Linked DNA regions of Cricetulus griseus. The protein of the gene in region 4 interacts with the protein of the main gene of each other region in a pairwise test. Links are inferred from orthologs where the notes say so. Each region holds a gene or a part of one and is shown on either strand. Other genes may lie near its edges.

What was found. The genes of interacting proteins can lie anywhere in the genome.
Region 1: the proteins of Fam168a (region 4) and Otub2 interact in binary tests that used the Homo sapiens proteins (3 or more experiments, as listed by UniProt). The two-hybrid records come from large-scale screens. The link is inferred for Cricetulus griseus from reciprocal best matches to the Homo sapiens genes FAM168A and OTUB2.
Region 2: the proteins of Fam168a (region 4) and Ube2v1 interact in binary tests that used the Homo sapiens proteins (3 or more experiments, as listed by UniProt). The two-hybrid records come from large-scale screens. The link is inferred for Cricetulus griseus from reciprocal best matches to the Homo sapiens genes FAM168A and UBE2V1.
Region 3: the proteins of Fam168a (region 4) and Rbfox1 interact in binary tests that used the Homo sapiens proteins (3 or more experiments, as listed by UniProt). The link is inferred for Cricetulus griseus from reciprocal best matches to the Homo sapiens genes FAM168A and RBFOX1.
Region 5: the proteins of Fam168a (region 4) and calcium-responsive transactivator interact in binary tests that used the Homo sapiens proteins (3 or more experiments, as listed by UniProt). The two-hybrid records come from large-scale screens. The link is inferred for Cricetulus griseus from reciprocal best matches to the Homo sapiens genes FAM168A and SS18L1.

The regions. Positions count from the first base shown.
Region 1 is NC_048598.1:102,692,314-102,697,088, forward strand, and holds the start of Otub2 (ubiquitin thioesterase OTUB2), read right to left. Parts: upstream 3,035-4,775; 5' UTR 2,971-3,034; coding exon 2,875-2,970; intron 1-2,874. UniProt on the Homo sapiens protein: Hydrolase that can remove conjugated ubiquitin from proteins in vitro and may therefore play an important regulatory role at the level of protein turnover by preventing degradation.
Region 2 is NC_048599.1:11,779,480-11,784,159, reverse strand, and holds the start of Ube2v1 (ubiquitin-conjugating enzyme E2 variant 1), read right to left. Parts: upstream 3,035-4,680; 5' UTR 2,912-3,034; coding exon 2,890-2,911; intron 1-2,889. UniProt on the Homo sapiens protein: Has no ubiquitin ligase activity on its own. The UBE2V1-UBE2N heterodimer catalyzes the synthesis of non-canonical poly-ubiquitin chains that are linked through Lys-63.
Region 3 is NC_048600.1:39,617,747-39,622,379, reverse strand, and holds the start of Rbfox1 (RNA binding protein fox-1 homolog 1), read left to right. Parts: upstream 1-1,599; coding exon 1,600-1,698; intron 1,699-4,633. UniProt on the Homo sapiens protein: RNA-binding protein that regulates alternative splicing events by binding to 5'-UGCAUGU-3' elements. Regulates alternative splicing of tissue-specific exons and of differentially spliced exons during erythropoiesis.
Region 4 is NC_048596.1:98,828,630-98,833,487, reverse strand, and holds the start of Fam168a (protein FAM168A), read left to right. Parts: upstream 1-1,860; 5' UTR 1,861-1,879; intron 1,880-4,858.
Region 5 is NC_048599.1:1,890,444-1,895,221, reverse strand, and holds the start of calcium-responsive transactivator, read left to right. Parts: upstream 1-1,744; 5' UTR 1,745-1,894; coding exon 1,895-1,963; intron 1,964-4,778. Other genes in the region: Psma7 (proteasome subunit alpha type-7), read right to left, coding at 1,319-1,414. UniProt on the Homo sapiens protein: Transcriptional activator which is required for calcium-dependent dendritic growth and branching in cortical neurons. Recruits CREB-binding protein (CREBBP) to nuclear bodies.

The DNA of each region.
Region 1 (4,775 bases), on a different chromosome or scaffold from region 4:
CTTTACATGACTAGAGAGATGCCACCTCCACCCAAATGCCAATTCCACAAAAGTAGGGACTCATCATCTGTCACCGCTGGATCTCCACTTACTGGAATGTTGGAATGTATTCTAAAAACATATCCCGAGTGTGACAAGCTGGACTGTTGAAGCCCTAGCTCCAGGCCTCAGAATGCCATTTTACTTTGGAATCTGGTCGTCACTGATATAATTAGTTAAGATGAGGTCACAATGGAGCAGGGTGGGTCACCAGCCCCATGACCAATTTCCTTATTAAAAGAGGAGTGCAAACGCATGCATGGGGGAGAGCCATCTGCAGATGAGTACCAGTGTCACAAGTCAAGCCACTACTGGAAGTTTGGGGAAACCAGGGACAGAACATTCCCAAACACCTTCAGAGGTTGTGTGCCTTTGCCTGCACCTTCAGCGGTGACTTCAGCCTCCAGACTCACCAGCAAACAAGACCCGCGCCTATGGCTCTATCCTGCTGGAGAGCTTTGCTGCAGTAACCTGGTGGGCACACTGAATGAGCAAGCCTTCCTCTCACTCCAGCTGGCCACCCACGACCCAGCGTCAGAGAGCCAGAAACCATTTCATATTCATCAGAAATGTTACAGTTCCCTAATGTGCAGACAACCCAAACTCCACCACCCAGCATGCAAAGCTCTGTACAGAACACTCAGATCCCATCCAATCTTCCAGACTCACCACCCCAGGCTCCTCTAGCATCCCTGAATCTCAATCAGCTGCTTACTCTTCCCAGAATGCCCACTTTTGACTGTGCCCCACGGCCTGTAAGCCTATCGTCCTGCTACCTGGAATGTACTATTTTCCCAATCCTTCCGCAATACTTCTTTACAGCCTCCAGCACCTGGTTTCCCCCACCAGTGGAATGTGCCATGCTCCCAAGGTCTCTGTTAGACTCAGGCCATGTCAGTAATTCATTGGCTGAGACCTGGCTCACAGGCATGAACTCCAGGAGAGGGCAGGCATCATGTGGTTCTCACCACTGCCCGAACCGAGGCTGAGGATGCCAGTGGTGGCTTGTGGAACACACGATAGAAGAAAGCAGACAGGAACTCATGGTTACGCTTATGCTCAACACTCACTCTTACGACCCACCAAGAGCAAAAGCACCTGTATTGAGGGTGACATGTCACTTGATATTTGCAGCCCTGACTACCGAGGACTTCATGTCTTCAGTCTGGGACCCACCTTCAAGCTCAGCCCTGTGACTTTGACATGGAAATAGAGGAAGATGCTGTCATTCCAAAGACAGTCTCTTCTATCCAGCTCCATACCAGGCAGCCTCAACTAACATTTAAAAACATTAATACAAATCAACCATGGATCCCAAGGATGTAGCAAGATGTAGCATTACACAAAAAAGGTGTGTAATGAAAAATGCCGTGTAAACAGTCACTAGTTCTGCCCTCAGGAGTCCCAGACAAATGTCCTTCCTATTACCTCTCTCTCCAAGGCACCTAAACTCCCCAGAGGGGAGTTGCTGGGTCCCAGCTACTGGTCTCCTGGGTTCAGGGCAGATCCAGTTACACAGTAAGGGACAGAAGTTGAAGTCCCAGCCCCTACCAGCCTGCAGCTTCTGCGTGGCTAAAACTGTCATTTTAATAGCTCTATTCCCTGGCAGGTGATGCGGAAATGCCCGGGCCACTTTCCAGGAGCAGCAGAGCAGGTGAACGCTTGGGTACCAAGAACAAGCAGGAAACTAGAACTTCTAGTTCTCTCTCCCCCCCCATCCTCCATCCTGTTTCTGGGCACACCCCAGCAGGAGGAGGGCTTGGAAGATGCCTGGCTTCCCATCCACACTCAGCACAGGTTTGACTCAGACACTAGCCCTGCAGCAACCCAAAGTAGTGACCCAAATGTGGGATGAAGGGCAAGCACAAAGAACCATGTACCCACACGACCCATCTTCTGGATTCCCTAGGTCCTAGTTGAATACCACCTCCCTCCCCAGGCACACACACACACACACACACACACACACACACACACACACACACACACGCGCGCGCACACGCACACGCACACGCACCAAAACAAACAAAATAAATAGGGTCCTCATAGCAGCCATTGGGACAGCCCAGACTGGAAGTGAGGGACTGGGGGTGTAGTTCCTAAGTCAAGCCTTATCTAACATGTATGAAGCCCTGGATTCAAAACCCAGCATCACCAAACAAAACAAAAAGAGCAGGTGAGACTTTGAGCCCAGAGCTGTGTGAGCCCAAGCTAACCAGTAGTACTAATAATAGACTCCTTAGAGCCCTTTGCTGGAAGTTGAAAAGTACAGGGCAGCCACCATCCTCGATCCCCTGTTGGAGGCCTGATCCCATGGCAACCTGTGGGCTGATGCAACACACAACACTGGACCAGAGGCTTGGGTTCAAGTCCAAGCTGTCGCATCATCACAATCCCTACCAGCTTTCTCTCTGTCTGGCCTCATTTTCCCCACCTGCTCGAGCCCAGGGTTCGACCGGGTTTGACCAGCCCAGACTCTCCTGGGCCTACTCTGCTCAGATGGGAGGTTCTTCTATATCATTTTTGCCTGGACTCCTAACTCATTCCTCACTCCTTGGGGCCGGCCTCTTCCTGTGGTCCTGACTCCACAGACCTGTTGCCATCAGGAGACTGAGCTTAAGTCCAAGTGGCCCTAAGACTTGCCCGGGTGGCCAGATAGCTTGTCCCTGGGGATGACTGGCTGGGGCAGAGTAGCTAAGTGAGCGATGGGTGGGCTGCAAGCTGTCCACAGGAGTGCTACTTAACAAAGAGTGGAGACCGTAACCCCGGAGGTGCCCCATCCTGCCCCGGCCAGGCACATGCCTCGGGACTTCGAGGAGGCGCCTGGGGGGCTACCTGGAGTGGACACGAGGCAGCAGGGCTCGGTCCGGGCTGGATCTCCCCGTTGCAGGTTCCCAAAGGGACAGCGAGGCACACCCCGGGGCTCAGCATCCGGAGGATAGAAAGGGCTGAGCCTCGCGCCCGACCGCGCGCACGCACATGAGCCCTGGAGGCGCCCCCTCCCGTCCCGCGACCACTGACCATAGTGACCGGAGCCGTCGGGCCACGTCCCGCCCCAGCGAGGAGGGAGCGGGTGCCACGGGAGGCGCTGGGCGGCTCCGCCGTTGGGTCGGGCGGCGCGGGCCTCGCGGGTGTGGGGCGAGCGCAGAATACACCCTACCGCCCCTCAGACCGGAGCGCAGACCTCCACTGTGTCCCAGCAAGACGCACTTCCCGCGATTGACGTTGGAAGCCGGCAATCAGAAGCCAAGACGCAGGACGTCACAGAAAGTGGGTGGGACTCCACTCGCCTTCAGCCCATGTTTTGGGGCCCGTTTGACAGGAGACCGCCCCCATTTTAAAGACACAGAGTGCTTTTAACAGGCAAAGGAGTTAGCCTAATCAGGGAAGCCGGTTCTGGTTTGTAAAGACAGACTTTGTTGTTTTCTTTCTTTAAAAATTAATTTATTTTTACATTCCAATCCCAGTTCCCCCTCCCTCCTCTCTTCCCGCTCCCCCACTCCCTCCCTCCCATCGGCTCCACGGAGGGGGTAAGGCCTCCCCTAGGAAGTCTACTAAGTTTGTCCCATGTCTAGTTGAGGCAGGACCAAGGCACCTCTCCACCCCCACACCCCTGCAAAGACAGAAAGACTTTTGGCTAAAACTGAAAATTGAAATCTGGAAGATTAAATGGCCCTCGTTAATTAATCAACGAGTTCACCCAAGTATAGTTCTCACAAGATCAGAGGACAGGTGCTTAGGAAGCACGTGTCCCGCCTCATTAAGTTACATTGTCAGCTCCTGTCTAGCTCCTAAATAATACTTTGGCTCTTTCCAAGTCATGAATCAGTGGGTTGACAGTCATCCAGGTAATGTTTGTTGAATGAATGAATGTTGGGGATGGTTGAGCGTGGCTGTGGAGTTGTGGAGCTGTGTAGAAGACACGACTGAACCGGGTCTAGGTGACACACCCTGTGTACAAGCTCGTTACTACTGAACATCAAACAAGAAATATTTAGCATTTGACGATTTGTTTGCCAGCCCTTGACCCCTGGTGGAGCTACTGCAGGTGTTGTGGGGAGAAGGGTGTGCACGGTACCTGACTATTTTAGTAGGCTCTGGCACTCAGGTGTTTCAGGAGAAACTGTGGTGGAAATGTGATAATGTTGGCTGGAAGCTGTTTTGCTCTTTTCCTGGGCTGGTGACAGGTGGTCTCACACCCTCATAATCGTGGACAGCCAAACCGAATGGCAGCTCCCGTCAGCCCCACCAGAGGAAACAGTAAACACATCCCAGTGTTCCATAGCATAAAGCTAAGATGGTTAGTACATTTGGTGTGGTGTATGTATAATGTGTTTTTCATTTTATGGTGTGTGTGTTTGTGTGTGTGTTGAGATGTGTGTGCACCTGTGTTGCATATGTCAGGGCCAGAGGTCAACGTAGGTGTTTTCCTCTGTTTCTTTCCATCTTGTTATTTTTATTTTTTAAAATTTATTTGTATTATCCGGGTGTGGAAGCATATGCCTTTAATCCCAGCACTTGGGAGGCAGAGGCAGGCTGATCTCTGAGTTTGAGGCCATCCTGGTCTATAGAATGAGTTCCAGGACAGACAGGACTACACAGAGAAACCCTGTCTTGAAAAAAAGAAAAGACCTTGATTATTTTAAATTGTGTTATTATAATTAAATGTGCTCTAAGCCAAGCAACCGTCATCTGGAGGAGTTCAGCTGTGTCCCCTTCGAAAAAGATCATCCCAG
Region 2 (4,680 bases), on a different chromosome or scaffold from region 4:
ATCCTGCAGTCCTGGAAACACAGGCAAGAAGCTGCCTGCCACTGCAGACATCTTGAGGTTGTAGTGGCTGTCTCAGCTCCTCTCTGATCGCAACAGCAAACGATGTAGGAAGGTGCCAGCAGCAGTGACCATGACCACAAAATCTGAGCTCAACCCTTATAGGACTTCCAAGGCTATACAATGGTTTCCTGGCAACCAGGGCAGAGATGAATGAAAAGGCTCAGTCTAAAGGTGGACTCAGGCCTGAGAACACCTGAAGGGTGTAGAGCGGAGCAGAGGCTAAGCACCCAAGTTTCACCAATTAAGGTCCTGCTGTTTCTACTCTAACACTCCACAGCCCCTTGATGCCTTGGGGCACAATTCAGATCTCATCATGCCTTCTCTTCAAGGCATTCATTCATTCAACACACACTGAATGCCTGCTTCATAGCAGATGTGTGTTGCATAGCTTCCCTTTGCCCTTAGTTAAGACCCAGTCATCTCTCCAGCTCATCACCAGGGCCTTGACATTTATTGGGGGAAGGGGTACCTATGGAGGTCAGAGGGCAACTTGTGGAAGGTGGCGCTTTCTTCTAACAATGTGGGTCCTGGGGATCAAACTCGGGGCCTACGGCTCAGCAAGGGTCTTTACCTGCTGAACCATCTCACTGCCTCCCTGCATTTCTTTTTAATGTGTTTTTTTTCCTAGACAGAGTTTCTCTGTAGCTCTGGACTCTGTCCTGAAACTGTGTATGCCAGACTGGCCTTGAACTCAGAGATCCACCTGCCTCTGCCTCCCAGGTGCTGGGATTAAAGGTGTGCACCGCTGCTGCCCTGCCTTTTAATTAGATCTTTTTAACACTACACACTGGCTCCACCATGGGGGAAGGGGGGGGACTGCATCGAGTCCTGCCCCACTTCTCCAGACTCCCCATTTTCTTCACAGCACTTCCTGCTTTTTGGAGTCACTTTATTTACACCCTGAAAGGTCTTCTGTCTGGTTTGAATGAAACTATCTTGCTTGCTGCACACAATAGGACACAATAGGCCCCAGTCATCATCTGTGGGAAGCCCTCACCGTACCTCAAAGCTTGCCCTAAGGTATCTAGCCATGCTAGGTGATCTTGCTTTATTCTGTGGTGCCAGGGATGGAGCCCAGGACCTCCAATATGCTAGATGAACACTCTAGCGCTGAGCCACATTCCAGGCCAAGCCCTGGGATTCCAGCACACATCAGCAGCTGCTGCTGTATCTCCCCTCCTCTGTACTTAGGAAGCACTGGCAGCGTCTCAGGAGTTAGAAGTAGCTGTCAAACCAGATTGTGAGACGGTCTCAAGTAACTACAAGCTGAGCTGAGTGGCAATGCCACCCCAATACTGGCTGCCAGGCAGTGCACTCCTAGGTCTGGCAGGGACACTGCTCTGGGAGATGTCCATACCCCGCCCCAGTCTGGCTTGACTCAGCCTTGGTCTCCAGGAGTGCCCATGGCTGTGCTGGTGAATGAACTGACCCAGCATTGTGCACAGCCTTCTGTCAGAGACCCCAGGTAGTGTGTGGTGGATCACTGCAGGCAGAACCTCTCTGCTTCGAGTCCCTAAGACACACAAGGAAGGCTTCTTGGAATACGGCAAGAGCAATAATCCTGGAAAGATGACTCCCCTGGAACTTCCCTTCAACCCTCCCTAACCCTGTTGCTGTTGGTGCCTCACACAGCTCCAAGACGCCAGTACCCAGGCCGGCGGCCCATCCTTGCCCCTTGCCCACCCCCATCACCAGGCTCCAGAAGATGCAGCTCTTCATCAACAGGGGGCACCTAGTCTCTCCAAAGTCCTTCCCTGGAAGAGCTAGACACCCCGGGGGGTCCCCTTCACCAATGCCTACCCCATCTCTAGACCGCCAGAGCCCCATGCTGCGACAACCAAGTGCAAGTTGTCTGTCCCGAGACAGACCCTTCGGCTTCCCCCTCAGGCCTATCTCAGGTGGTGGCACAGCAGGCTTCTCTTAGCCCACAAGAGACTGGCAGAGCTTCTCCCCTAAAAGCACCCCCCCTTGCTAGGCCTTCCGTGTCACCCAAGGGTTCTCATTTCAGTGTTCTTCTCTCCCACCCATCCAGATAAGGGGGAGTTTGAGTTGAACCCATATATTTTTCCCAATTATTCGAAGTGACCGGCTCCAACTAAACAGGCACTTCCTTCATCCGCCTGGTGCAGGAAGAGGAGGATTTTCTTCTCCAAAAGAAACATCTTGGGGACTGCACCCCGTCCCAGTCTCCCCACCGATGACACGCCCCACCTGACCTCCGGCGGGGCTCCCGAGGCACCTGCTCGTGCCCACCCCACATCGCGCACGGTTCCCAGCGCGCCCTCCGAGACCTATCTGGGCAAACCGTGGTCCCCACAGCCCAGGCCTGCTCCCGCTGCGGACGCCCGGGCTCTCCCTGTGCAGATGCCCCGATTTCCCCGGGAAGCGACCACCAGGAGACTCCCCCTCTCGCAGCCCCGACCCCAAATTCGCGCGGGGCCCTGGGGTGGCCTCGCCTGCGGCCCGCGAGGCTCCCTGGGGTTGCGCCCGCGTCCCCCACCAGGCATCCCCGGATCCCGTCACTCAGGCCGGCTCAGCGGGGCCTGGCCCGGGCGTTCCCGGGCTCGCTCGGCCCCTCGGCCGGCCTCCCCCACCCCCACCCCCGGAGGCGCCCGCGGAACCTCCGGCTTGGCCGCACCGCCCACGGCCCCGCTGCCCCCGCCCGGGCTTCCGGCCGCCGCCTGCTCGTCCCGGCCCGGCCGCGCCGCCAAGAGCAGCCGCAAGGAGATCGCGGAGCCCCGGCCCGGCCACCGTGGCCTCCGCCAGCCCCGGGCCCAGCCCAGCCAGCCCCGCGCCCCGTCCGCCAGCACGCCCGGCGCCTCCGCTCACCCGAGCCTGTGGTGGCTGCCATCTTGCGTCGCTGTCGCTCGAAGGCCGGCCCCTTCTTCACCCCCCCCTTGAGCTTCCCCGGGCGCTGGTGCGCAGGCGCAGGCGTAGGCGCAGACGCAGACGGTGCCGCTGACGCCCGCTCGGGGTCGCACGAGCCGGGCGGGAAGGGCTTTGCCTGGGTCTAGGGTGAGCGAGCACGAGGGCGGGACTTGCAGGTTGCCCCGCCCAGCCCGGCGCCCGGTGCCAGGGCCCCGGTGGTCACGCTGAGCTGGGAGAGCAAACGGGGGAGGAAGGGCTGCGGAACCCCATGCCTTTCTTGGGCGGTTTCCCCTCTGGCTGCCTCCAGCTCATTATTAATGTGGAAATGAAGCTGAGAGGTGTTCGATTCAGATGCTGAGTCAGATATTTTTGTTATGGGTATCTGAAGAGGTCAAACTGTGGCCACTACAATCTTGTTTCCTGCTTTGCTGCTACCTGAAGGGACCCGGCGCTGCCAGGGGATTGAGAACCTTCCTGAGCATGCATTCAGCCTTTTGTTTGCTTGTTTGTTTGCTTTTCGAGACAGGGTTTCTCTGTGTTGCTTTGCAGCCTCATCTGGCACTCCCTCTTTAGACCAGGCTGGCCTCGAACTCACAGAGATCCACCTGCCTCTGCCTCCGGGGTGCTGGAATTAAAGGCGTGCGCCCCCAACGCCCGATCATTTTTTTTTTTTTAAATCGTTTTGTTTGTTTGACCCAGGGTCCCGGGACTCCTGCTGACCTAGCGTTCGCCCTATAGAGGTGGACGACCTTGAATTTCTGATTCTACTACTTCCACCTCTCACAAGCTTGGGTTGCAGGCCTGTGTTACTCCTGGTTTTAGAAGGGTTGCTGGTGGAACCCAGGGCCTTGTGCCTGCTATGCGAGCTCTCTATCAAGGGAGCCACACCCCTACCTTTGCGTCTTTTCACTCTTGATCTAAACATTCATTCATTCAGATATTTATATGTAGGAGGGCGGCTAGGTGCTGGAAATGACAACATCCCCAAAGAGGCAAGAGTCTGTCTCAGGGTTTACATCCTTGCCGGACAGAGAACAAGTGAATATAAATGAACTCTTTACCTGGGATAGGAAAGGGGAACAATTAGGAAAGGCCTCCTTTGGCGATTCCATTTCAACAGTCTTGAATATGCAAAGGTCTTACAGACATACATCCGCATACACTGTAAACCACATCCCGAAGCCACCTTGGAAACCTCTAAGTGGCTGTGGAAAACAAGACTGAGAAAGGTAAAGTAGCCAGCTCCAGGTCGCACTGCTAAGTGCCTACAGAGGGACAGGAAGCTGGGAGCCCTCACCGGAGCGCCCCATTGTCACCTGTTTGGTTTTTACTAAGCATCTACATTGCATTACCTCGCGGAGTATGTGGTAAACTCAGAATTATAATCCGGTGCAGAAGACTTGTACACCAGAATAAAATGAGTCTGTTACAATTTCTCCATAATAGAGGGAACCAGGTCTCTAGACAAACTGGGAAAGATGACTGTAAGGATTCAGGCATTATGCTGGCCTGCCCCTGTCACCTGACAGAATGCGCTCAGTCAGTGCCCTGGTCAGCCCAGGGTTCCATGGTTGTGTAGTGTGCACTCAAGTGCAAAGGACCCCTTTAAAAAACCCTGCTCATGTAAGCTCTCTTTCCTGCTGTTCTCCTGGGGCAGACAGGATTTTTCCTGTCCCCTCTTCTCTTCTGTCCTCTCTCTGTCTCTGTGTCTCTCATCTCCCCCATCCTTTTATAATAAAACTTCTCACTTAA
Region 3 (4,633 bases), on a different chromosome or scaffold from region 4:
TAACTCTAAATAAATCTATATAAAATATGGTAACTATTCCTGATCATGATTTTACTATTGCCAGGATTTCCCCCCTTGTGGGAATCAAGGACGAATTAGAGTCTTCATATTTTCTCTTAATTCACAGATCACATCCCTTTTTATTGCATAAAGACTAACGAAATCTACTAATGAATAATTATTACTTCATAAGATAAAGGGGAGGGGGAAAGATCTGCCTGCAAGAGTGGAATGTTAATTTGGCCAAGGAGGCCAGGCAAGAGGGGAAAATATAAAATAAAACCATTTCAATTTGCTCTCTGCATCACGAACAGTAATCTCTTATAAGACAGGGACTTTTGTCTACCCCGTGTATTTATAATTTGAGAAGAGCAACGGGTTCTAGGCTGGGAGAAGGCCCCTTGCATTCACCTCGAGCTGGCATTTTAGTGTAACAGCTGCGTGGATTCTCCAGTTAAGCCGCACCGCTCGGGGCTGCTTGCCCCGGGTAGGCTGATTCCAGGGAGAAAGCAGTGCCCCTAGAGCAGCGGGGGGCGGGGGGGGGGGGGCAGAGACCTCCTCGAGCCCCCACCCCTGCACAGACAGCACCCCAACCCCTGGCGTGTCCATCACCCCCAAGCTTCTTACAAAAGGGGAAATCCCTTTCTTGTGTTTATTTGCCAACGAGTCAGGCAAACAAACCGCCAGCTGAAAATCTCCCGGGCTCCTTAGTGTCCCAGCTGAGCAGTCTTGTTAATGGTCCAGCTCCTTTGATTGCTGGAGATGTGGGGCGCTCATACGTTCGCTCGCCCTCTCCCTCCCATCGGAGGATTTTAGCAGGCAAAATTTAAATTTTGGCGAGTCCTTTTTTAAAAAAAGAAAGAAACCCACAACCCTGCCCCTGGACCTCTTTGACAAATGAGAAGACTCCCAGCATCAGCACCAAGCGAGTGAGCTACAGTGAAGCTGTGAGTCAAAACCTCTCTCTCTCTCTCTCTCTCTCTCTCTCTCTCTCTCTCTCTCTCTCTCTCTCTCTCTCTCTCTCTCTCTCTCTCTCTCCCCAACCCCTCCCCCCTCTTCTCCTCTCCCTTCCTTCCTTCTCCTCCCCCTTCCCTACTACATATCCCTGTCTTCCCTCTCTAGCATCTCTATCAGGGCATCCTAACCCCTGTCTTTCATAGAAGTCGACTTTGCCCATTTTTGTCACCTTTAGGGGGTGGCGGAGGTGGGTGGGATGAGGGGCACCTTCCACTTTAAGAGCGCTCCAACAACAGGCCCAATAAGCCAAGGGGAGCCAACACTACTTCCCAGCCTCTCCAAGTGTCTTTAGTTGAAGGCTGATGAACGCTGGGTACTAGCAAACCCGAGGGCGAGGAGAGCCAGGGAGGAGGGACTCTCTTGGGGTGCGGTGGGGGGAGGGAGAAAGAGAGAGACGAAAGAGGAAGAGAGAGGAAGAGGGACAGCCACTGCTGCGTGAGTTAGATAATCAGCAAAAATTAAAAAGAAAAAAAAAAAAACTGTAGCGACTAGGCAAGAGGGTTAAAAAAAAAAAAAAGCAACGCGATTGTAGATTGTATGTGAGCATCTCCGCTCTCGCTCTGCGGGCACCCGAGAATCGCGATGCAGCATCCTCTGACGGGGGCCACCTGCGTGGCACTCCCCAACGTGGGCATGTGTCCCCAGCTCTCGTGTGCCTTGACTTTTATGTACTTACAGCAGGTAAGACGCGCGGCTCTTTCTCAGCGGCAGCTTCTTCTCAGCTTGACCAGACTGGGTACCGGTTCAGTGGGCTGCGCGTTGGGGGGTGGAGGGTGGGGGGTCTCGATCATTGGGACGAGGTTTGGTGGGAGCTTCTGGTTTTCCGTTAAGCCACGATGCTATTTTAATTCACCTGTCTGAATACTTTGTGAACACCGATTTCCAGCCTCAGGGACCGGGAATTTGAAAATAAAAAACTGGCTTTTTCTTGTGAGCATCTTTTCTCATGTCAGAAGTCCCAGAGGTGGGGTGAGGGGAGATTTCTAGGATGTTGAGAGAGTTTGGGGCTCTGTGAAGACATCCTGATGTTTGTAGTTTTAATTCAGCTGTTTTAATGATTGACACAAAGTGTGCATGTAGTGTGTGTGTGTGTGTGTGTGTGTGTGTGTGTGTGTGAGAGAGAGAGAGAGAGAGAGAGAGAGAGATCTTTGTTAAGTTTGTGTTATCTATCCATCCACAAGAATCAGTACATTGGGATATCTGGAGCTTGACAGCCCCCCTACCCAATCTTCTTTGAAACTCCCCAGCATTGGGTGAGCATGGGTAGATGCTGTCTTGACTGGCCGGAACACAGGGTGGTTTGTTTGCTTCTTTGGTTGTTTCTATAACCCAGGCCTGTCCACTCCCTGACAGTGGTCTTGCCAGATGTCTGTTGGCTTCATTCCCACCCAGTCCACATCTGTGAATTTTTGGATTCAGTTCTTGCTCTGAGTGTCTGCTCTGGGCCTCAATGGGTCTCCTCCTCCCTCTTACTAGAAAGGCTTCTGCCGAGTACAATACTCCGGGGCTTTGGAAACCACCTAACACTGTCCTGTGGGGAAGCAGGCCAGCTGTATCACGGGGCGGGGTCTGTGGCAGTGAGTTGGCAATATTAGAGGGGTTTTGTCTGCTGGTGGGAATCCATGACCCGACTCACTTTGGCCTGTCCTATGAAGTTTTCACCGGGGGTAATCCTTTTGCCTGCCTTTCAATGAATTCACTTTAAGAATAAGATTGGTTACATGTGTGTGTTAACAAAACTTCTTTTCCAAGAGTTGAAAGGAGCCCCTTTCCTCCAAGATGTCCCACTCTAATTTGTGCTACAGAAATATATGTCTTCATAAAATGTCAGGGGTTCTGTTTTGAACATTCGGGTAATTTGTTATCAGCTCGGTTGCCAATTTTTTTCCTCCTCATATTTACTGCTGCTAGTCTTTTTTTGAGAATAGCTCCTTAAAAACATCTTGTGAATAAATTGGTTTATACATGTATTTGTTTTATTTTGTTTCCCATTTAGTCAATCATACCAGGAACCATCTCTTAGGAAGGTATTGATAATATATGTGATTCATCAGCATGTACCATTTCCTTGCCTCAGTTGTGAGTGTGTGTCAAGTGCCGGTGCATTTTACATCAGTTATTTGTCACAGAAACATTCCAGTAAACATTTCTTCAGTTGCTAAACCTCAGCTGGATTGAATCAAACAAATTACTAGAGCAACTGGTTTTTTATCCTATATTTGTGCCTTTCATTTTATTTATGAATCAACTGGATTATGTTATTTAAGACGTAGAATGTTATGAGTGCGCAGTGCTTACTCTGTTTCTGGGGCTTATGTGTTTTAACTAATCTGTATTTCTGCTTCATCATTAAACTGGTTTGCTCATTGAAGAATTTAGGAAGGAGGACAGTGGCTTTGAACAAGAATCTATTCTTCTGTGAAAAGGAAGGGTGCATCATGTGGCACCAATCTTTCCCACTGTGGAATGCACCTGCTTTGGAGAGGAGCCTCACAGGAAGTGCTGGCAGCCATAACAAATATTTAGAGGTGACTAAATCAACAGCACGATTCCCCAGGAAGGTAGATGGGGGACGGTCTTTGAAATGAGGTCTCAATGTGTTCTCCCCACGACTGAGTGAGGCATGGGGTCAGAAAGGTGAGAGTGACAGAAGTATGTCCCTTACTGAGGTTTACTAAAATTCTGAAGTATAAAAAACGGGCAGACATTTATTTTTGCTTGTCCTATTTACAATCAAGGTTTTTAGCTGCCACCACTACCCTTTCCTAAAATTCACTATCAGAGACCTGTGCCTTGGGGTCATCTCTTCTGACCTTTTAACGCCATGATTCAAAGTCAAGGTCAGAAAACTGGCTGATTTACAGAGGAGACAGTCCCTTTCATCTCCACAGGCCACATATCAGTACAGACTACACATCTTCTGCCCGTGTGGAACCACTATACTTTTTTCTGCTACTAATCTATGGCTAATATTACATATCCATGTATTTGATAAGCAGAGAGCTAGTTCATACTTTCAAAGCATATTCATCAAATAGATGACTGAATCATGCTTCATTTATGAATAACAATACCTTCATTAGAAGAATTAAATTTTGTGTGTAGGAAAAAGGTATGTGTCAGAAACCACTGTCCTCTTCATCGCCAGTTTACATACAAAAATAATTAAAATCCTCCTATCTTTTGTGAAACATTTCTCATCCTGTTTTTATCCATGCACACGGTCTCATGTGTTGGGGACTCCTGGGTCCTCACTGAAATATTTTATCTTAGAATGAAGTCTTATATAGGGACTATCTCTTACCCAGCACTCAAGGAAAATGACTCGGTTATATGTGTTCACTGGCCTTGATCTTAACAACCCGTTCCTTCCTAGATACTATAAGACAACTCATGAAAACAAAAATCAATTAGGATGCCTCAGCCTTGAGAACATACACTGAATGTTCAAGTGAAAACAACATAATCTCTTTGCTACAAATAGCTTATTTTTTCAGATCAATGAAGTGATATATTTGGTGTTTGCATTTTTTGACTTATTTTGTATCATTTGTTTACATTTTCTAATACTTCCCTTTACATAAATATATTCCTTAAGTTTATGATTTCTTCTTTT
Region 4 (4,858 bases):
TGTCTTAGTTAGGGTTTCTATTGCTGTGAAGAGACACCATGACCACGAAACTCCTTTTTTGTTTGTTTCTTGGAGACAGTTTCTCTGTGCAGCCCTGGCTGACCTCAAACCCACAGAGATCTGCATGCCTCTGCCTCCTGGGTGCTGGGATTAAAGGTGTGCGTATCTGCCTGCCTGACCACAGCAACTCTTTTTTTTTTTAAGAATTTATTTATTTATTTATTTGTTTATTTATTCATTTATTTATTATGTATACAACATTCTGCTTCCATGTATATCTGCACACCAGAAGAGGGCACCAGATCTCATAAGGGATGGCTGTGAGCCACCATGTGGTTGCTGGGAATTGAACCCAGGTCCTCTGAAAGAGCAGTCAGTGCTCCTAATTTCTGAGCCATCTCTCCAGCCCCACAGCAACTCTTATAAAGGAAAACATTTAATTGATTCTAGCTTACAGTTCAGAGGTTTGGTCCATTATCATGGTGAGAAACATGGCGGCATGCACGCCTGTTGCTGGAGAGGTAGCTGAGTGTTCTACATCTGGATCAGCAGGCAGGAGGAAGAGAGCCACTGGGCCTGGCTTGAGCATTTGAGACCTGGTGACACAGTTCCTCCAACAGGGCCATACCTCCTAATAGAGCCACTCCCCCGTGACCAAGCATTCAAACACATTATGGGGGGCATTCTTATTTAAACCACATTGCACCAACTGAGCTACATTCCCAGCCTAAGAATGCAATTAAAAAGCACATCAAGTTATCTGCCTTCACCCACGGACCTCCATCTGTCCCTTCTGCTCTAACAGGATAAAATAGCTTCAAGTACTGTTTGGTGGTTGAAGACCAACTCCAGCTGCTGGTGAGAGGCGCTACTGCACCCTTGTGGACATATTTGGTTACTGCATCCAACCTTGTGCCTGTCTGTCAGAGTAGGACTTTCCAATGCTTGGGCCATGTTAAAGACCCAAATAACAGCTTCATTCTGTTATTAGTTAAAGCTGCTCTTGCACAGGAGATTAAGTCACAAGCCTGGATGTTAACTATGAAGCACCTCTGTGGTTCTGACCAACAACCTGTTCCTTAAAAGAGGAGATGGGTTAAGATGGGGAGGGGATTAGGATCTTCTGAAGTTCCTAGATTGGCTTTGGCGTTCTTAGAACACTGTGTCTCGGAAGATCTTGATTCTCACATGGTTGATATCCTCAAGTCCAGCTCAAGCCCTTGGGAAGAGTTAGTATGAAAGCCAGGGAGAATGGTTCCTGGCATCCTGAGTAGCATAGATGACACCCATCATTGTAGACAGTCACAGGAAGACAGGAAAAATAAATACCATGTGGGGTAGAAAACCTTGGAGAGATGCTTTGTTGCTGTTTGTGGGTTTTGTTTCTCTTTTGTTGTGTGATAGGATCTCACTTGAGTTGCCTAAGCTGGTCTTGAACTCACTATGTAACCCAACCAAAATGGAATTTGTGATTCCCCACCTCTACCCCCTGAGTAGGGAGAGGTAACAAATGTGAGCCATAACCTCCCCCACCTCCTGCAGTCCTGAAGTTTCGCGTCCTGCGATTTATCTTTTGAAAAACTCACTGTGGGTCTGCAAGTACAGCTCAACGCTAGGACACTTTCTTAGCATGTGCAAAGCCCTGCCTTCAATTCCCAGATTACAAAATAAGGAAACAACCTAAGACAACTTGCTTTCGTGGGTGGTGGAGGAGGATACAGCTATTTCTTGGGACAGAAGATGAGATAGATTAAGTGGGATTTAGTCGGCAGATGGCGCTGGTAGGGCGGCAGACCTGGCCCAGGCTAGCTTCCGCCTGGAGGCCCTCTTCAGAGTCAAGTGCCACTGGGAGATGCTGACGCGGTGAAGGCTGGTTCAGGTCTGTTCTAGTGTTTCTGTCTTAAGATCTCATCTACCCTGAACCCTATCACAGAAGTGCAAATATAAAACAGACTGTAACAGGGAGAAATGTCCAAGCAGGGAAGTAGAGTGATGATGCACTTCCGGAAAATGTGCTACCCCACAGCACTGTGGCCAGGGTCCCAGGAGAAGATAGATGGTCAATTTCAGTAATGCTAAAATGGAAAAGAAAAGTATTTTGCTGACATGAATGCTAGAGAAAAAATTTTAAATAGGGTGGGCAGGGGGAGGGAAGGATTCTGAGACGGTCACCTTGGAACTTCGGTAAGAGGAAGCATCCTTGGGATTCAGTGCTGAAAGTATCAGTTGCTGCCTCCCCTGGTTAATTCAAAGGTGCCAAGCTGTAAGTCTGGGGACATGAATCTGTAAGGTCTTCCAGGCCTTACAGATGGGTCAGTCCTTTTGATACTGGGGAGGGGGGAGGTGCTGTGTTAGTTATGGCAGTTTGAGATGATAGCTGAGTCTTTCCAATGAAAAGTCACCTGACCCTCAGAAATATTATATCACATTTATCAGAAGAGTCCTTGAATTAACTCAGGGGCTCAACTTGTCACTCAGGGCCTTCCTATCTCTCCCCCTGAGCCATATCCACCCAGAGGTTGCAAGATAGCTGCTACAGATCTTGTCATCACAAGACATTGTGATGTTCTGAAACCTGGAAGAAAATATCTAGGAAATTTCCTTTCTTGTCTCTTTTGCCCTATTTTTGTTAGGTAGGGATGTCTTCCTTAAAATTCTGCCTCCTCCCTACCCCTGGCCCCCGGCACACTTGATCCTTTATCTTTATGGGTCAGGTTACTTTTCTGTAGCTGTGGTAAAACACTGGGACCAAGGCAACTTATAAAAGAAAGTGTTTAATTTGTTTGTTTTTGTTTTTCAAGACAGGTTTTCTCTGTGTAGCCTTGGTTATCTTAGAACTTATGCTGTAGAGCAGGCTGGCCTCAAACTCACAGAGATCCACCTGCCTCTGCATCCCCAGTGCTGGGATTAAAGGTGACTGTCACCACTGCCTGATGAAAGTGTTTAATTTGTGGCTCACAGTTTCAGAGGGTTAGCATCCATGGCAATTATGGAGGGGAGCATGGCGCAGGCAGACATGATGCCTGCTCACATCTAGATCTGCAGCCACAGAGAGTTGAACTGGGAATGCTCAGCGTTTGAAACCTCAAAGTCCATCCCTGTGATACAACTCCTCCAATGAGCTCACACTCCTAATCCTTTCCAAACAGTTGCACCAACTGGGAACCAAGCATTCAAATACAGGCACCTAGAGGGGCCATTCTCATTCAAACCTCCACAAAGGGGCATACATGAAATGAAATCCAGAGGAGGAGACCTATACCAGGTCAGGCTTGAGAGAGAGAATGCCTACTGAGAAGTGGCAGGCTGTCTGACATAATATTCTTCCTTCTTTTCCCTGATATAAAACTCATGCATGTTCATTATTGGGTATTTGGGAAATCCAGAAAAGTATAAAGAGGAAAAGAAAGAGGCTGGGAAGAAGTTCAGTTAGTAGATTGCTTGCACCATGCACCAAACCCTGGGTTCAGTCACCTACATAGAATAAAAGCAGGCTTGGTGGTACAATCTAGTGGCCACACCCTTTGGGCATGGTTTTAGGTGTGGATGTGACCCCTTTAGGAGAGGAGCAATGGTGTCAGAAGTGGGATTTTACCCTGTATAGATGTTGGTTCCATAAGTCAGATTCTTCTTTGTTAGATGATTCTTTCTGGATAGCTATCCTTTCTTCTTTAGACATCTACACAACTGATGTCTTTTGACTTCTTGAAGATGGGTATTTTCTGTTTTCCTGTAAAGACAAGAACAGAACACTCCCCCGATCTTTATGAGGTCTCCATACAACTCGTGGGATTTACTTTGGTGGATGACCTGTCATTCTCCTCGTCAAGAGGTTTCCCCTGTTCAAACAGGATCTTGAAGCCAAGTGGTGGTGGTACACGCCTTTAGTCCCAGCACTCAGGAGGCAGAGGCAGGCGGATCTCTGTGAGTTTAAGACCAGCCTGTTCTACAGGAGCTAGTTCCAGGACAGCCTCCAAAGTCACAGAGAAATCTTGTCTCAAAAAAACAAACAACAACAACAACAACAAAACAAATGGGATCTTGATCAACCTTGATGGTATCCACAGCTTTTTAAAGGGTCGGGCCACTACTACAAATTCACTGGCAAGGCGAGATGCCACTACAAAAGACAGGGTTTCTCTGTGTACCCCTGGGTATCCTGGGGTAGACAAGGTTGGCCTCCAACTCAGAAATTCTCCTGCCTCTGCCTCCTGAGCACTGGGACTAAAGGTATTAAAGGCATAGGCACCACTCGGCTGCCCCTAACTTTTCAAACTACTTTCTGCTCAGTATATAAAAGTTGGTTGTAGGCCATGGCCTCAAACCCTTCCCTCCATCTCTCTTTCCTTCCTTCCTTCCTCCCTCACTTCCTTCCTTTCTCCCCTGTGTGTGTATGCACTCGCGCACATGGGTTTACACGCACACATACACATGTCATAGCATAGGTGTGGAGGACAAATGACAATTGGTGGTAGTTGGTTTCTCCTTCTACTGTGTGGGTCCTGGAGATTGAACTCAGGTTGTCAGGCTTGATGGCAGGTACCCTTACCTGCTGAGCTATCTTGCAGGCTCTCTCTTACATATCCTTTCTTTTGTTTGTTTTCTTACTGTGAAAAATTAATAAATGATAGCACACACAGCATATGTATGCAAAGACTATAATGAACACATGTGAGCTCAATGTCCAGTCTGAAAAACAGAGCCCCATCAACATTCATCCTTCATCATGGTTGCTGCTGCTTCTTGTTTTAGTTTTTTGTTTTCCTCCAAGCTCAGTGATTCTCTCACTCCCCTGGTCTGCAGGTTGCCTGCTGTGCAGCAGACCTGGGCTGGGTCTGGTGCTCAGCTCTGCCTCCTG
Region 5 (4,778 bases), on a different chromosome or scaffold from region 4:
TTGCTTCTCTATGGCTGGCTCTACCCCCTGATTCAAAGTAAACTTTATCGACAGTCTAGAGTGTCACAGTGTGACCAGGTCTTGATGCTTGTAAGAGCAAGCCCTTCACCAACTTAGTCGTCTCACCAGCCTCACAAGTTTTTGTTGTTGTTCTTTGTTTGTTTTTCCCTGAGACAGGGTTTCTTTGTAGCTTTGGAGCCTATCCAGGAACTCGCTCTGTAGACCACGGTGGTCTCAAAATCACAGAGATCCTCCTGTCTCTGCCTCCAGAACGCTGGGATTAAAGGTGTGCACCACCACTGCACAGCTGTCTCTTGGGGCTGGAGAGAGGGCTCAGGTTTAAGAGGACCCGGGTTCAATTGCCAGCACCAACAAGGCAGTTCCAGTATCTATCCAGTTCCAAGGGATGTGACACCCTCACACAGACATACATGTAGGCACAAACGCCAATGCACATAAAGAGGAGTCAATAACTCATACATACATACATACATACATACATACATACATACATACATACATACATAGAGATTCTCTTCTAGAAGCCCAGGCTGGCTTTGAATTTGAGATTTTCGGGTCTCAACCTTCCCAATGCCGGGATTACAGGCCTGGGCCTCCAAGCCTGCTCACTCTAGTTTTTTGGGGGTGGGTTAAGTCACCAAAAGATTTGGGACTTTACTTTCAAAGCGATTAAATACTCGGGAAATGCAAGCGCTTCGAGTCTCAGAACCACGTGTCTTTCCCAAAGACCCAGTGACTCAGGAAAAAGAAAAACGCAGAACTCTCTCACTGCTGACGCTTGCAGGTGTCGGGCGGTCCCATTTCCAAATGGCGCTAAGGTCCCCGAGCAAATCCCGGGACGCGGCGAGAGGCCCACCGGAACCAGAATACAGCGTCGGTGGAGCAGGCGAACCCGGAAGCAGTCGGTCCCCGTCGCAGGGCCGCCCTTTGTTCACCAACGCCCGTCTGGCCTAGCCGGGAGGTCCCCAAGTCCCCGCCGGCGCCGACTCTCAGCCCCCCACCTCCCGCGCGCACCTGCGGCCTCCGTCGTCCGCGCCGCGCCGCGCCAACAGCACCAAGATGGCCCCGGCCGGGCGCGCGATGCGCTCCCCGTGACGCTCTGCAGCGGGCAAGCCGGCTCTCCAGGGAGCATGGCGCAGTCCCCGCGGCCCGGCTTCCTTCCTAGGTCGCCACCCTTCGGCTCCCGTCACCTCCCGGGCCACCCGCCGCAAGCAGAACGCGGGGGCCCCGCTCCCGGGTCTGCGAGCCCTGCTTCCCCGTGCGCCCTGCCGCGCAGGCCCCGCTCGGGCCGGCTCACCGCAGTGGAGCCCTTCTTGACCGCCTCCTGCGCGTACTCCACTTGGAAGAGGTGGCCGTCGGGCGAGAAGACGGTGATGGCGCGGTCGTAGCTCATCCCGGCGGACGCGCGAGCTAGGGCCGCCGCCGCCGCCGCTCAAAAGCGCACACTCACCGCTTGCGCCCGCCCGCCGGCCGTCTCGGGCCACGCTGCTGGCGTCCGCGGCGTCTGGCGTCAGGGGGACGTGCGGCGCGGCGGGGCGGGGCGCGCGGGCGGAGCGGGCAGGGGCGGGGCGCGGCGGGGCGGGCGCAACCACCGAAGCCCGGCACAGGGGCGGCGCGGCGGCGGCCGGCTGGACGCAGAGCGCAGGCGGCACAGCGGCGGACTCGGCGCGGGGTCCAGTCCCGGAAGGCGGTGGCTTAAGGCGCAGGGACGCGGGAGGCCCGGGCGCGCGTCGGCGGCAGGCGGGCGGGCGAGCCCACGGCACGGCATCCCCCGCGCCCCCGCCCCCGCGCTGCGGAGAATGGGCACCTCGGGCCGCGGGGCGCAGCCGGAGAATAAACCCGAATGATCACGGGCTGAGTCCGCGCCGCCACCATGTCCGTGGCCTTCGCGTCGGCGCGGCCGAGAGGCAAAGGGGAGGTCACACAGCAGACCATCCAGAAGGTGGGCAGGGCCGCGGGGGTGCGGAGCGAGGGTGCGCGCGGGGCGCGAACAAAGCCAGGGCACAGCCGGGCCGCAGGAGCCCTGACGGCGGCCCCGCGCGCCCCCAGGAGAGCCTGCGCCAACTTTGCCGGAGGCGCCGGCAGCGGGGGCCCGGCGGCCGCAGGGGGTGGCCACCCCGGAGCGCGTCGCGCGGTGTCCTCTGAGAGCGCCCCTGTCAGCCGACGCAGCAGTGCGGGACGCCGGGGCCCGCGGCCCCTCCAGCCGGGGCGGGGGCTGGTCGCGCTCCGCTGACAGCCCTGGTGGCGTCGGTCGCGCGCCTCTGCGCGCAGCTTGGCGAATGGAGAAGGGGGCGCGGGCTGCCTGGTGGCGCGCCGCTGCGGCGAGCTGACCGGTGTCGTAGGTATTGCGGTCCCCGGCACAAAGGGACGCATCCAAAGTGTGCGTGCCTTCCCCACGGCCCGCAGCGGGCTCCCGAGCTCGCTGCAGGCGGGTGGACCTGAGGCCAGCGCAGCCCCGCCCCCGCGCGGGTCACTGGGCATCGGCGGGCCCCGCTGCCTGCACCCAGACTTCGGAGATTTCGTCCTGCAGTCTCGGTCCCATCCTTTATTCGGGCTACTGTTTTCCAAAGAAGGCGTTTGCATGGGTTTGGGGACATATTTAACAAAAGCTTTAAGTTTTGACATGAACACTTTAGCATTTTACTGGTTGTCTTTCGGTCTGAACATCTTTCCTACGCTCTGGCTTTTCTCAGTTCGGGTTCCTTCTACAGAATTTCCGAATTCCCTTGAGCCGGTTAGGTCCCCAAGGGCCTTGGCATTTTAGGCCCTCATAACCTGAGGGGCTTGTGGGTATTTACTCAGCTTGTCACCTGTTTCCCAGCTCACCCTTGCTGTATTCCGCCTCTTTGGAATATAATGATTGTCGAAATCAGCAAGCTTTGGTGAGCTTTGGGCAGGAGAGATTATTGGAGCAGAGCAGAAATTCGGATTTTCCAGTGTGGTTTTTGTATTAACCTTTTGAGAGCTGTGGGATGCGATGGTGTTTCTAGGCTTGATAGCTCTTGTCACATTTAACTTTTTTGAGGTGACTTGGGGAAGGAAACTGAGGCTGCAGAGGCTCAGTGGTAGAGGGAGTCGCAGCAGCAGCTCGTCCATGATCGCTCCAGGGGCTGCTGTCCCTGCGGCCATGGGTTGGGAGCCTTGTTTGATGGAGGGTGAAGCACAGTACACACATTGGAAGGCCCGACAGTGCCCTAGCCCTCTGGCTGCTGGAGCTTCACAGTCACCGTTCTCAGAGCCACCTTTGGCTTCGTTGCTTGTCCAGAATTTTGTAGTCACACCTGCTCATCGAAGAGCCTCAGTTTCTCCAGGCTAAAGTGTGTTGGAGATCCACCCCAAACATCAGATCACCAAGAGGGGAAATTTGCTGGCCTCAGTCTGGGGCAGAAACAGCCTGTACGTCTTCAATTCATCCTGTTAAGGTACTTGACCTGGTAGATCCAGCAGTCCACTTACTGCCTCTGTGGGTCCTTTAGTGTAGAGTCTTAAGTAGGCTTGAGGGGAGTGTGTCTTATACTTCACACATGTACTTTGACCTAGTTTGGTGATGTACCCCTGGGATCACATTCCAGAGCGAAGACTGGAAAGTTTAAGGACAGCCTGAAGCTACATGGCAAGTTCAAGGGTAGCCCAAGCTGTAAAGCAAGACCCTGTATCAAGCCAAGGGCAGACCTCTGGCCTAGTATTCCCCAAACCCTAAACTCCACCCCGAGTGTGCATGCATACTCCGTGCACAGTCATTGTGTGCTAACCTGCCCATGCTAAGATCACTGGGGAAGGCCAGGGTGCCTGAGAGCTCTGGGGGAGGGTGAAAGCAAAGGAAGGAACAGTGTGTTCTCAGAGTGACAAGTCCTGCTCAACCTTCAAAGTCCCACACAAATGTCCCCTCCTAATCTTCTCTCATCAGTCACAAGGCCACTGTAGGACTTTGAGGTATTGTCTGTGGCATGTGAGTTAGCATGTGACTGAGATAGTCACTGCTGGTCCCTAGTTTCGCATGGGACTTGGTTGCAGCTAGTGTACCCCACATACAGTAGAATGTGTCATAGCCTGAAGCTACCTAAGCTTCATTCTGCCTAAGCCAATGTTAGTGCCCCACAATTTCCCTAGATAGCAGTCTTCATTCACTCACCCTGTCTAGCTGTGAAGGAGTGGCTGCCTTCCGTCCATCCGTCCATCTGTCCTTCCTGCAGTCCTGAAGGAGGCTGCTTCCTACCTCCTCAGCTTCTGATGGCTGCCAAAGCCTTTGGTGTCCTCCTTGTCTGCAGCAAGGTCTCTGTTTTCCTCTCCCTGGATCTCCTTGTCTGGGTTTCTTCCTCTTAGACGGACAATGGTAACTTACTAATTTGCAGATGGCCTGCTTCACAAGTTTAGATATTTCATGGGGTCAGGAAATTTGAGCAAGCCGTGAGTAGACCACCCTGCATGGAGCAGGGAGTGGGGACCCAGAGTGGAAGCCTGGAGAGCTGGCCTGACCTGGAGCAGGTGACCTTGCGATGACAGAGCACTGGTACCTGAGAGAGACTAGTCAGAACTGTGCTTTGCTGAGGACAGTGTCGCCAGGTGTGCCCAGGATCCTGAGATGGAGCTGTAGCTGGCGGATGCCTTCACGGGCGCCAGCGGCTCAGGGCCAACCCTGTCTTCCTCTCTGCTAGCTAAAGGCCATAGTATGAAGGTATCCCGCACTGTGCTCCTGATACAACCAGGCTGGTACAGTGCAGTGGTTCCCATGGCTGCATGCCTATTAGAGGGACAAC